Linked DNA regions of Daphnia pulex. The protein of the gene in region 2 purifies or fractionates together with the protein of the main gene of each other region. This does not show direct contact. Links are inferred from orthologs where the notes say so. Each region holds a gene or a part of one and is shown on either strand. Other genes may lie near its edges. The genes, in order: vesicle-associated membrane protein 2-like, vesicle transport through interaction with t-SNAREs homolog 1A-like and syntaxin-8-like.

Region 1 (3,370 bases), on a different chromosome or scaffold from region 2:
GCAAGTGTGTGTGTGTGTGTATGTACAGTTCTCTATAACTCTGCTATACATACTATATATGGTCCACGGGACACAATTCCAATTGTGGAGGGGTCTGAGCATCCCCAATGCATGCTTCATGCCTTCCTTCATTCTTATGTTCTTGTTCGTTTTGTTCTTCCACCAAATAAAAACAAACCAACCCAAAGAGATAAAACTACGTCGCGAAAATTACCCTGGTTGTTTTTTTATTTATTTAACTTGAATTCCTCCACCACACACACACACTCCCCTCTCCGCTCTTGCTCTCTCGTTCTTTGCTCATCCACTGGATACGATGTTGTTTCCTTGTTTGAGTTCTTTTTTATATTCAACGTAAAAACTGTGTCGTTCCCCCTGTTTTTATTTTTTAGTTCCCTGTACATACATATGAAAAAAAAAAACTTCCGTACGTGATGATAAAATCAGATTCACTCCGTGTTTTTTTTTTTGTTGAAAAGTTAGGAGAATATAGAACGAATCGGGGAAAAAAAATTTAAGTTTCGTTGAATGATCAGCAGTTCGAGGGAAAATAAAAGAGCTGTGACCGGGTTGGATATGGCGGGGGATGGAATCCAATGAGAGAGAGTGACACGATGTATAAATATATGTGGAATACCATCGGTTCTGTATTCATCAATTGATATATAAACCGTGTAAAAGGTGAAATACAATGGGAAAATGATCAGCCGTTCATCAAAGTGTTTGATACTTTTTTTTTTCATTTTTCTGTGACAGACATTATCAATCTCACTCGATTCCACAAGACAATGTTAAGTGGATTTATAGTAATCAAATATATATTTCAAATTGTCATCCATTCATCTGACTATAGTGTGCAAACCCCACCTTTCAATATTTGAATTTGCGGATTTTGATGGACTCAACTTGTACGCCTAGTAATACCGGTCGACAGGCTTTTTTTTTTAAAATAATCAAAAACAAATTATTATAGCTGTTTTAGAATAGCTCAGTTACAACATATTTCAATACTTGGGGATATCTTGAAAATCTTCTTGCTGATCAATGGTATTTGACTGATAGCCACACTATATTGATTTGGAAAAATGGTTTAGATAAAAGTTGCTATGTTTAAAAATGCAGCACATGATACCTATCATAATTAGCACAACTAGACCGCAGAGTGATCCTAGAATGAGACGAGTTCTCATCTCTTTCCACCACATTGTTTTACGGAGCCTGCATGGTGAGTAAAGATTTTGTTAAATATTGTAGACTAGTTGTTAAAAATAAAAGATTACCTTGAGGAAGCAGTGTGAAATTCATCGGAAGCACTTCTTAAATTTTCTGATCTCTCATTCAGCTCATCCAGCTGGTCACCTCTGGCAAACAGCTTATGCACATTCTCCTTCATAACGTTAGTGACCTCTTCCACCTGGGATTTTACCCTGTCAAAAGAAAAACAATTAGATCAACATGTAATTTGAATTCTCAAGATGTAAGCTTACTCTTTCAGCTTGTTGTTTGAAAATTGTCCTCCATCTTTTTTACTGGAAAAATTCAAATTTGAAATGAAACAAACTAATTTGAAATATTAGAAATAGCTTACTTGAGCACGAAATCTTCATCACTATCATCAGACACATTATCTAGTAGCTGCTCCTGTAAAGGACAAGGATTCTTAGTGTTAGTATTTAAGTTACTCCCACGTAACAACATATAGTTGTAAAGAATATTAAAGCTGACAAGTGAGTTTTTGGTAAAAACACTTTATGACTTTACTCTTTCAAAATCTGCTCCTTCACTCCTGCTTGGTCTAGTTGGTCTTCCAGACATAGCAGATATTAAAATATTTATGAACTTTCTTGAAAATGTGAAAATAGGATCAAACTAACTAGTAACTTTACAATAACTAAAGGAAAACAAAGCTGTCAATTAATTTCATCAAATATCTTCTGCTAAACGCCATCTATTGTCGACGACTACAACTGTGTACACATTCGTCAGCTGGGCTACAAGTAAAAGCAGCAAAAGAATAGCTGTTTGTGATTAATAAGTACTGTTTCATTTTTTAAAAAGAACACATAGCATTTAGCATAGGATCTTCAATAACTCGCTAATTGCCGTAAAAAGACCATTTTTATAAAAACAATTCGATTTTTAGTATATTCATGTGCGAATAGATGGCAAAAGTCTAAATCAGAGTATTTTTGAAACCTGAAGTTTGAATAATGATCAGAAATCTAACTTTAAACAATTAAACAATAATAATTAAAAAAAAAAAAAACATGTATGGGGTTTTTCACTCTGTAGACCAATACTGGCATCGCCAGATCAATGTTAGCTTCATCTAGAGTTCTGAGCCTACGCTTTTTAGGACTCAAAGAACCGCTGTATTCAGTTAACCATGGATTAAGAATTAACCGATTGGCTTACAAGTGTAACGTTGTAAAGCCATTTGAATACCTAGATGTAGGTCTTAGGATTTGAATGCAATACTTCCATGCTAACTTTCTTGCACCTCGTTAGATTCAATGAAATCAATGAAACCAACGATAATCCATTCCATTGACGAGTTATTACCTCATTAATTGCTATTTTACTTAGTTATTTATCGATCGGTGTGAAACAGCTATGTTCACCAGTAGAGTCGAACTCAGGTGTCAAAGTGCTCTTGCGATCACTAAGCCACGCCTTATCCGACTCACACACCCGACCTCCCATTGTTCATATATTAGTTCAGTTAGCCTATAGAGGTTTTTCCATTTGGTTCGTGTAAGTAGAGGGAAAAGTCGTGCGGCTAGTCGACTAGTGCGCACCATGGCGGTGGATAGCCGAAACTTGCTGCAGACTTTGCTTGATCCAAACGATAGTCACCGTAAGGCCATGTACTGTAACCTGTCAGGCTGTCAGCAGCAAAAGTGAAACCTGTTTTTTTTCTTAAGTGTTTAAAATGACAAAAGGTTTTTGTTTCATATGTTCAACTTATGAAAAAAAAAAGAGATCGCCGAAGTTTTTTCAAAGTGCCAGAATGCAACATTAACAGTAATTCAATTGAGAAAGAACTCATTTCACTTTGAAAAAACTTCGGCGATCTCTTTTTTTTTTTTCATAAGTTGAACATATGAAACAAAAACCTTCTGTCATTTTAAACACTTAAGAAAAAAAACAGGTTTCACTTTTGCTGCTGACAGCCTGACAGGTTACAGTACATGGCCTTACGGTGACTATCGTTTGGATCAAGCAAAGTCTGCAGCAAGTTTCGGCTATCCACCGCCATGGTGCGCACTAGTCGACTAGCCGCACGACTTTTCCCTCTACTTACACGAACCAAATGGAAAAACCTCTATTTAACTTTCTTTTCATTTTAGGCACATTTTATTATCTACTT
Region 2 (3,254 bases):
GTTCCCGAGATTGCCAGGATATACAAGACTGATCGAGAGCGATACAATGAACTTGCACGTGAATGGACTCGTAAATACGCCATGTGATGACTACGTCATTTGTTTGGCCCAGCTCTTTTTTCAAATCCCCTCACACCCCAACTTCCCCACCCATCTACTCCTTGCGATCGAAATGAATCGAGATGTCGATGGAACTTAATTAATTCTAAATAAAAATCCTTGTGCCGTCAGTTAGTATTTTCGGTTTATTGTCGCAAAAGCTGGAATAAGTTATCTATTGATGCTTACATAAGAAATAATGCTTGTGAATAAGCATACGAAACTGAACTTAATTATTCCCTTAGTGATGTTTTGAGTGATTGAAATTTTTATTGCTTTTAGAATTCATGGTCGAAAATGGCTTACTCAGAAAATTTTCCAATTCTCAATTGAATATTATGTAATTTCAGTAGGACCATCTGTTGCAGATTTAAATAACCTTGAAGTGATCGTAATCGTAGGATGACAAATAAAAGCATCAGTTGCATGACGTGCGCAAAAATACTATATTGAAACAAAGTACATACATTTACATATACATACAAATTGTGGAATGGCTAAGAACTTTTCCGAAATTTAATATACAATGTAATTATAATCAAAATTACAGCAAGAATAATTAAGCCAACAAACGCAAGACGATTCTGAATAATTCTGCCAAACATGCGATTCAGCAAGCGCCCACTACGACTTAACTGTTCATCGGTTTCTCGTAGCTTATAACAAAAAAAAGTTAGCATGTTAAAATTTGAAATCAAATATTAGAGCGATGTTTTCTTAAACTTACTCTGTTCCTGGTTTTTTGAATGGTTTCCCTTTGTTGATTGAGATCAGTAAGTATGTTGTTTCCAATCTGCTCTGTTTCAATAGCAATTTGATAGCCTGCTTCTAAACGATTTCTTCCTCGTTCTAGCTTTTCACCATTACTAATCAATAGTTGATTTTGATCATATACATCTTCTGCATCAGTGTCTCCAATTAATTCTTCTCTCTCTCCACCATTTGAAATTCTTTTACTCTTGAATTCTTTTTCTAGTCTGGAAAGTTCAACTTTGTAGCTTTCAATACGAGTACAATATTTGTTTTTTGAAGCTGTATCCAGTTCTCGAATCTCCAATTCCATCTGTTCCAACTGAAGTAAAATTAGAATATTTAAAAGTCGTGTTACATTTATCAAATATTAATGCAGAATTAATATTCTTACAATATCCTTAGTTTCTTCAAGTTCTCTTACAATCTGTTGAATGGAACATTTCTTATCCTCCGCTGAAATGTTAGAAATAAAATTGACTAAACGGAAACATAATAAATGGAAAATTTCAATATGATTGAACCTTTAGTTATTCCATTCAGTGTTGCTGTTCTTGCAGTAATGCTTGCAGTGATGACACTTTAAAATCATAATTATTATTGAAAACTGTGAGTGAAGAAATTTTAAAATAAACATACCTGAATTGCTGTTCATAACTTTTTAACAAGGAGTCCATTTTCGTTAACATATAGGGTATATTTACCTGTCACAAGACAACACCAGGGGTACGGCGAGACGCTACATGTAAAGTTGTAATTGTAAACATAATCCGTAAACATTTGCCAATTTAAAATGGCTGCCAAGTACTTCAAAGAATTGAGTAATAACATAAGAAAAAAGATTTGTTGCCAGTGGTGAATTACTTTTAGAAAATTTGTTGAGTAAATCACGAAATTTATTGCAATTTATATTTAACTTATTTCGAAAGGAGACAAGAAAAGATTAATATTATTTTCCGCGACCATTTTCCATTTTTCAGTTGACTAAAACTTTTATTTGCTACTTGGCAACAGCGAACGTTGTTCTCTTCGTCAAGTAAAGTCTTTCTCTTAGAGCTCCTTTTCACTTCGGGCTTGGATTCGAAAGGTATTTTTAAATATCAATGTACATCCATATCTCCTTGAAACTATTTTTCAGATTAAATATTGTAATGTGAACTAGTGTTCGTTTTGAACTAAATGGTCCAACCTTTTTGTTGATTTTAGGTAAAATGGCTCAACGTTTAACTTATCGGAGGCGCCTCTCCTACAACACCGCTAGCAACCAGCGACGCATGTAAGATTGTCATACATTAATTAGATGTCTAGATTAGAGATAGAATTGATCAGTTGAGTGAAAGCGATTTTTAATGATAATTTTCTAAATGTTCAACACTTTTATGTGAAGTGTCAACAATACCTACAACTTATTGTTATGAACTTGTGATAATATTTTTATGTTTTCAGTGTGAGAACCCCAGGTGGTCGCCTTGTATATCAATACAAAAAGAAGCAAAGGAAGATTCCCAAATGTGGTATGTGCAAGACTACACTCAGAGGTATCCGACCAGCAAGAGCTCATGAGCGAAAAAGAATGTCACTGAGACAAAAGAAAGTCTACCGTGCCTATGGTGGATGTCTTTGTCACAGCTGTGTCAGAGAGAAGTATGTTGTGCTCAGTACATTTTTAAATTGGTGTTTCTAACATGTTTTCCTTAATTTCAGGATTGTGAGGGCGTTCTTGATTGAAGAGCAGAAAATAGTAGCCAAAGTACTGAAGGCTCAGCAGGCTGCTGTTAAATCTTCTAAAGGCAAAGTTTAAATGTCCTCCAATGAAGTGTGGGTGGATTTTAATACACCTTGCATCATGTGGTATTATTGTATTTGTGTTTCTCACTGTCAAAAGGTGTCCCCTTCATGGCTCGCTTGAAATTATTTAAGCTTTAGGATAATGTGTTCTGTGCATCCGACTAGTTTTTTTTTTTTTTCGGATTAGAAGTTGGATTGATAAATTTAGGTTTAACAATCTTAGCGCTAGTTTACAGCTGTAACCTAGCGTCAGCCTATTTCACCAAGAGGTTAACATTTATTCTTTTGCTGAAACAACCAATTAGACAGGATGTCCTTACATACTACTAGAAATTAAAATAATGTCAACTATTTACTAAATTAATTAAATGATTAAATCAAAATAAAACTACTTGGCTGTTGTTTCCAAGGCGGTTCAGAAATTTATTTTAAGAAACGCCGTGCAGGTCATAGTTTTAAAATCACAGTAAAATTATTCATTGGGCTTGCTAGATTGCTGGAAAGACAAATTTAATCTTGTAGTTTCGTAACATGATGCGTTCCTACGGTTCCTAACAGGTTCTATAATATTAAATCCGTTAAACCAATCACAACACACATTAAATTGATGCTATCAA
Region 3 (3,262 bases), on a different chromosome or scaffold from region 2:
CCAACGGAGGTTCCCTAAAGAAGGTAATAGTATTTTTGTTTTATTAAATGTAATTTGATTAACATACATTTTTTTAAATTCTATAGACTGGAACTAGCTTGGAGAAGTAGGAACATGTGTAAACAAGTCAATGCTGTCTGTGTCAAAATTCCTTGCTATATAAAAAAACGCCGTTAAAGTTTCTATTCACATTCCAGGTTAATCATTTAAAAAATGTGTTGCAGTTTTGAGACATTCGTTTCACAGTTAGTTTTTTCCTTCTTTTTTTTTCTTCGAGATAATAATTATATCAATAAAAACTGTTATGCATTCCAAACCTGTTATGCTTATTCATTGTTTACTCCGTAATGCGCAAATCCTTTAAGATGAACGAAAGTTGTTAACGGAAGTTATAAATTAATTTGTCTATAAAAAGAAGCCTGGTTCATTTTCACATTCAATTTCAATGCCCTAAATGTAAACCCCACGAAGAATGGGCAAATAAATACACTTGTCATACAACCATTTCGAGAATAAATTGCGTTATATATTTTTCTCTTTCATCACTTTAATAGAATCGATGTAGTTTTAAGGACGAGATACGGTCAAATTAACTTAGGCAGCTTTGGAATTTCTCATTAATGTTTCGGAATAGAAGCGACTACAACGATGGCAACAAACAACAACAGGATTACCATCCAATATCCTGAAGTGAAAACAAAGAAATTATTGCATCTGTCTGAAGCACCTTATCTAACAAGATCTGTGTTTACCAAAAGTACGATCCTTCCGATCAACTACAGTTATTGTTGAAGTTTGCTGTGCCATTCGATCCCGAGTGCGATCAACGTTGTCTGCGATGTTTTCAATCAAATCTAAACCAAGAAAATACAATTTTTATTATTATTTTATGATAATTAATCAAAAGAATTTACCATTTTGTGATTCAACTTCATCACCAATTGTCTGGGCAATTTGCCTTTGCCTGCCAATAATTCTCGAAAGCTCATCCAGCCCTCTGTCTTGATCTAGAAAATACATTTTTATTAAGACACATATGAATAACACATTTAAATCCACTAACCTGCCATAATTTGGACTTGGATTTGTTTGAGTTCACGATGAGGGATATGTTCACTAGTCATTGCAGATGATGATGGATTTGAAGAGGTTGTTGTTCCTGATGACAATTTACTAAGGGATTGGCTCTTATCCAACACGCTATAGTAAACAGAAAACTGTAAATGAAAATATTTCTATTCATAGTATGAAAAACTACAAACCTGCTATTGACAGAATTCAGAAGCTGCTTATGTTTGCTTAAAAGATCTTCAAGGAGAAGGCCCCGCCGTTCTTTCTCTCTTGCAGTCCTGAGTGAAAAGTTTTAGAAATGAGCTAACTTCATTAATGTTAGGTGGAAGTCAATACAATACAATTGTTTATTTTGTGAGAGCCGTTCAAGATGTCCTTTAAGACTTTGGATTTCACTGTAAAGTTGACTCAAGCTATTCCTCAACTGAAAAGAAAGTCTTGCATGTGCTTGAGAATTCTTTGGTAGGTGATCCCTTTCATTAAAAATCCCCAGTAATGAAAAATGTAATTTTTCAGCAGATGAGAACTCCTTTTCCCTGGTTTGATGGATACAATTAAGAATTAATGTGATAACATCTACAGATGCAGCAACAAAAATTTGTCTTTCGTATTATTTGGTAAGAGCTTGGGCCAGAACCACAAGGTAAAATATTGACATTATCTAAAAGATTAGTTTTGTTTACTTACCAGGCATTAGCGTCGTTTCCCAAATCGACGAGCGCCATTCTTTCATAGACGTCTGCTCGAGACAGCTGTCAAATGCGATGGTGTCGCTTTGTATATATATATACAGACTTGGGAAAGGGCAGGGAAAAACGAAAGAGAAAGAGAATGGCCGGCGCCGGCCAGACATCACATCAGAATTCTTGTTGTGTCATTGTGACATTGTGTGTTATTCTTTCCCGTACCGTACGGTCGGTGCTTTAGTGTATTTATTCCTCGTGATGTTTAGTGAAAAGATTTATGAGTAGATATACACGAGGTCTATCAATTTCTGATTTCCAGTCTCCTGCGGCAGCCGGCAAGCCTGGTAAGTTATTATTGGTTTCACTTGAATTTAACCACTAGATTAGATTACACCTACACTACAAGGCCAAGTAGATACTAATTGTGGTTTAACTGGTATTATCAGGATCGACATTTTTTCCTAATAAATTGGCCCACAGCTCGTAGTGTAACATTTAGTAGGAACGTAATGAGCAAAGAGTGAGAGTGGTTTGTTACAGCCACTTGGCCTTGTCCCACGTCTCTAAGTTATCCTCAAGTTCACGTTATAAGCTAGCACGGACGATTACGACGATGAATCCCATGTTTGGAAATCCGACGACTTCAATTAAAACCTACAAGAAATTCATCGGCAATGTGTCTATTCTTCTGAAGTAACTCTTCCGTCATTGGCATTTTTGGCAATGCTATCTTATTCATTCAAAATTGTAATTTCAATTACTTTTATAGATGGAAACGAAGTGTTTACAAATTGTTATGGAAGCACATGGTGATCTACGCAATAGTATACATATGGCTGAGCATTCTCTACGAATTCATCCTCGACGAATATGGAAAAATGTTAAGTATTGGTCAATACATTCCAACAGTCTTATAATGGTAAACGTTCCACGCGCTGACTGAATATCGTTTTCTATTTTTGTAAATTGTTTGTAGGAATTTCAGGGTCCTTGCCGAACATTGTTCCCGATATAGCGGTAGTATTAACCTTATGGTATTGCTTGGCTTCTTTACATCAACAGCCATGCAACGATTATACTCGATGCAAACACCCGAAACAGACCAATCAATTACCGTATTCATATTTTCACTGAAACCAGATCTACCTGAAGTAAGTCCAACTGAGAGTCATTTATCATTATAATGCAATAATTTTAATCGCTATTTTATTAAAGGGGCCTGTGATTATCGATCAATTTGTACGATGGCAATTGCTTGCTTTGATATTTTCATTTTGTCTGGTGTCTCATCCTATACGAAAAATCTATCCAAATCTTTCGTCCTTACAAACTGCAGGTAGTCTAATGATTAGACCCTTCTTTTTTAGATTACCTTGTTATTTCTTTACAATTAACATATTTATATATATTTCAATCTAGGATTACTAACTCAAGACGAAAGGCAGATCATAGAAGACTCTCTTTTGACTAACAAGAACACGTCCTGCGATCTCATTGTTATCGAT

Evidence for each region.
Region 1: the proteins of vesicle transport through interaction with t-SNAREs homolog 1A-like (region 2) and vesicle-associated membrane protein 2-like purify together in Homo sapiens (affinity purification with mass spectrometry; 4 studies listed by BioGRID and IntAct, counting the BioPlex papers as one, with this or other methods). This does not show direct contact. The link is inferred for Daphnia pulex from reciprocal best matches to the Homo sapiens genes VTI1A and VAMP4.
Region 3: the proteins of vesicle transport through interaction with t-SNAREs homolog 1A-like (region 2) and syntaxin-8-like purify together in Homo sapiens (affinity purification with mass spectrometry; 3 studies listed by BioGRID and IntAct, with this or other methods). This does not show direct contact. The link is inferred for Daphnia pulex from reciprocal best matches to the Homo sapiens genes VTI1A and STX8.

Annotation. Positions count from the first base shown.
Region 1 is NC_060027.1:3,974,335-3,977,704, reverse strand, and holds vesicle-associated membrane protein 2-like, read right to left. Parts: upstream 1,945-3,370; 5' UTR 1,816-1,944; coding exon 1,762-1,815; intron 1,642-1,761; coding exon 1,589-1,641; intron 1,530-1,588; coding exon 1,488-1,529; intron 1,428-1,487; coding exon 1,281-1,427; intron 1,219-1,280; coding exon 1,133-1,218; intron 1,068-1,132; coding exon 1,042-1,067; 3' UTR 1,012-1,041; exon of another isoform or gene 948-1,011; intron 936-947; 3' UTR 624-935; downstream 1-623. UniProt on the Homo sapiens protein: Involved in the pathway that functions to remove an inhibitor (probably synaptotagmin-4) of calcium-triggered exocytosis during the maturation of secretory granules.
Region 2 is NC_060026.1:5,810,027-5,813,280, forward strand, and holds vesicle transport through interaction with t-SNAREs homolog 1A-like, read right to left. Parts: upstream 1,689-3,254; 5' UTR 1,539-1,688; coding exon 1,489-1,538; intron 1,430-1,488; coding exon 1,374-1,429; intron 1,306-1,373; coding exon 1,244-1,305; intron 1,172-1,243; coding exon 827-1,171; intron 756-826; coding exon 597-755; 3' UTR 527-596; downstream 1-526. Other genes in the region: ubiquitin-conjugating enzyme E2-17 kDa, read left to right, coding at 1-87; 60S ribosomal protein L34-like, read left to right, coding at 2,061-2,125, 2,296-2,493, 2,554-2,650. UniProt on the Homo sapiens protein: V-SNARE that mediates vesicle transport pathways through interactions with t-SNAREs on the target membrane. These interactions are proposed to mediate aspects of the specificity of vesicle trafficking and to promote fusion of the lipid bilayers.
Region 3 is NC_060022.1:2,056,297-2,059,558, forward strand, and holds syntaxin-8-like, read right to left. Parts: upstream 1,884-3,262; 5' UTR 1,797-1,883; coding exon 1,759-1,796; intron 1,608-1,758; coding exon 1,413-1,607; intron 1,350-1,412; coding exon 1,263-1,349; intron 1,201-1,262; coding exon 1,064-1,200; intron 1,008-1,063; coding exon 915-1,007; intron 855-914; coding exon 753-854; intron 686-752; coding exon 618-685; 3' UTR 505-617; downstream 1-504. Other genes in the region: serine-rich adhesin for platelets-like, read left to right, coding at 1-23, 87-110; bestrophin-4-like, read left to right, coding at 2,035-2,101, 2,354-2,450, 2,527-2,637, 2,734-2,908, 2,973-3,093, 3,177-3,262. UniProt on the Homo sapiens protein: Vesicle trafficking protein that functions in the early secretory pathway, possibly by mediating retrograde transport from cis-Golgi membranes to the ER.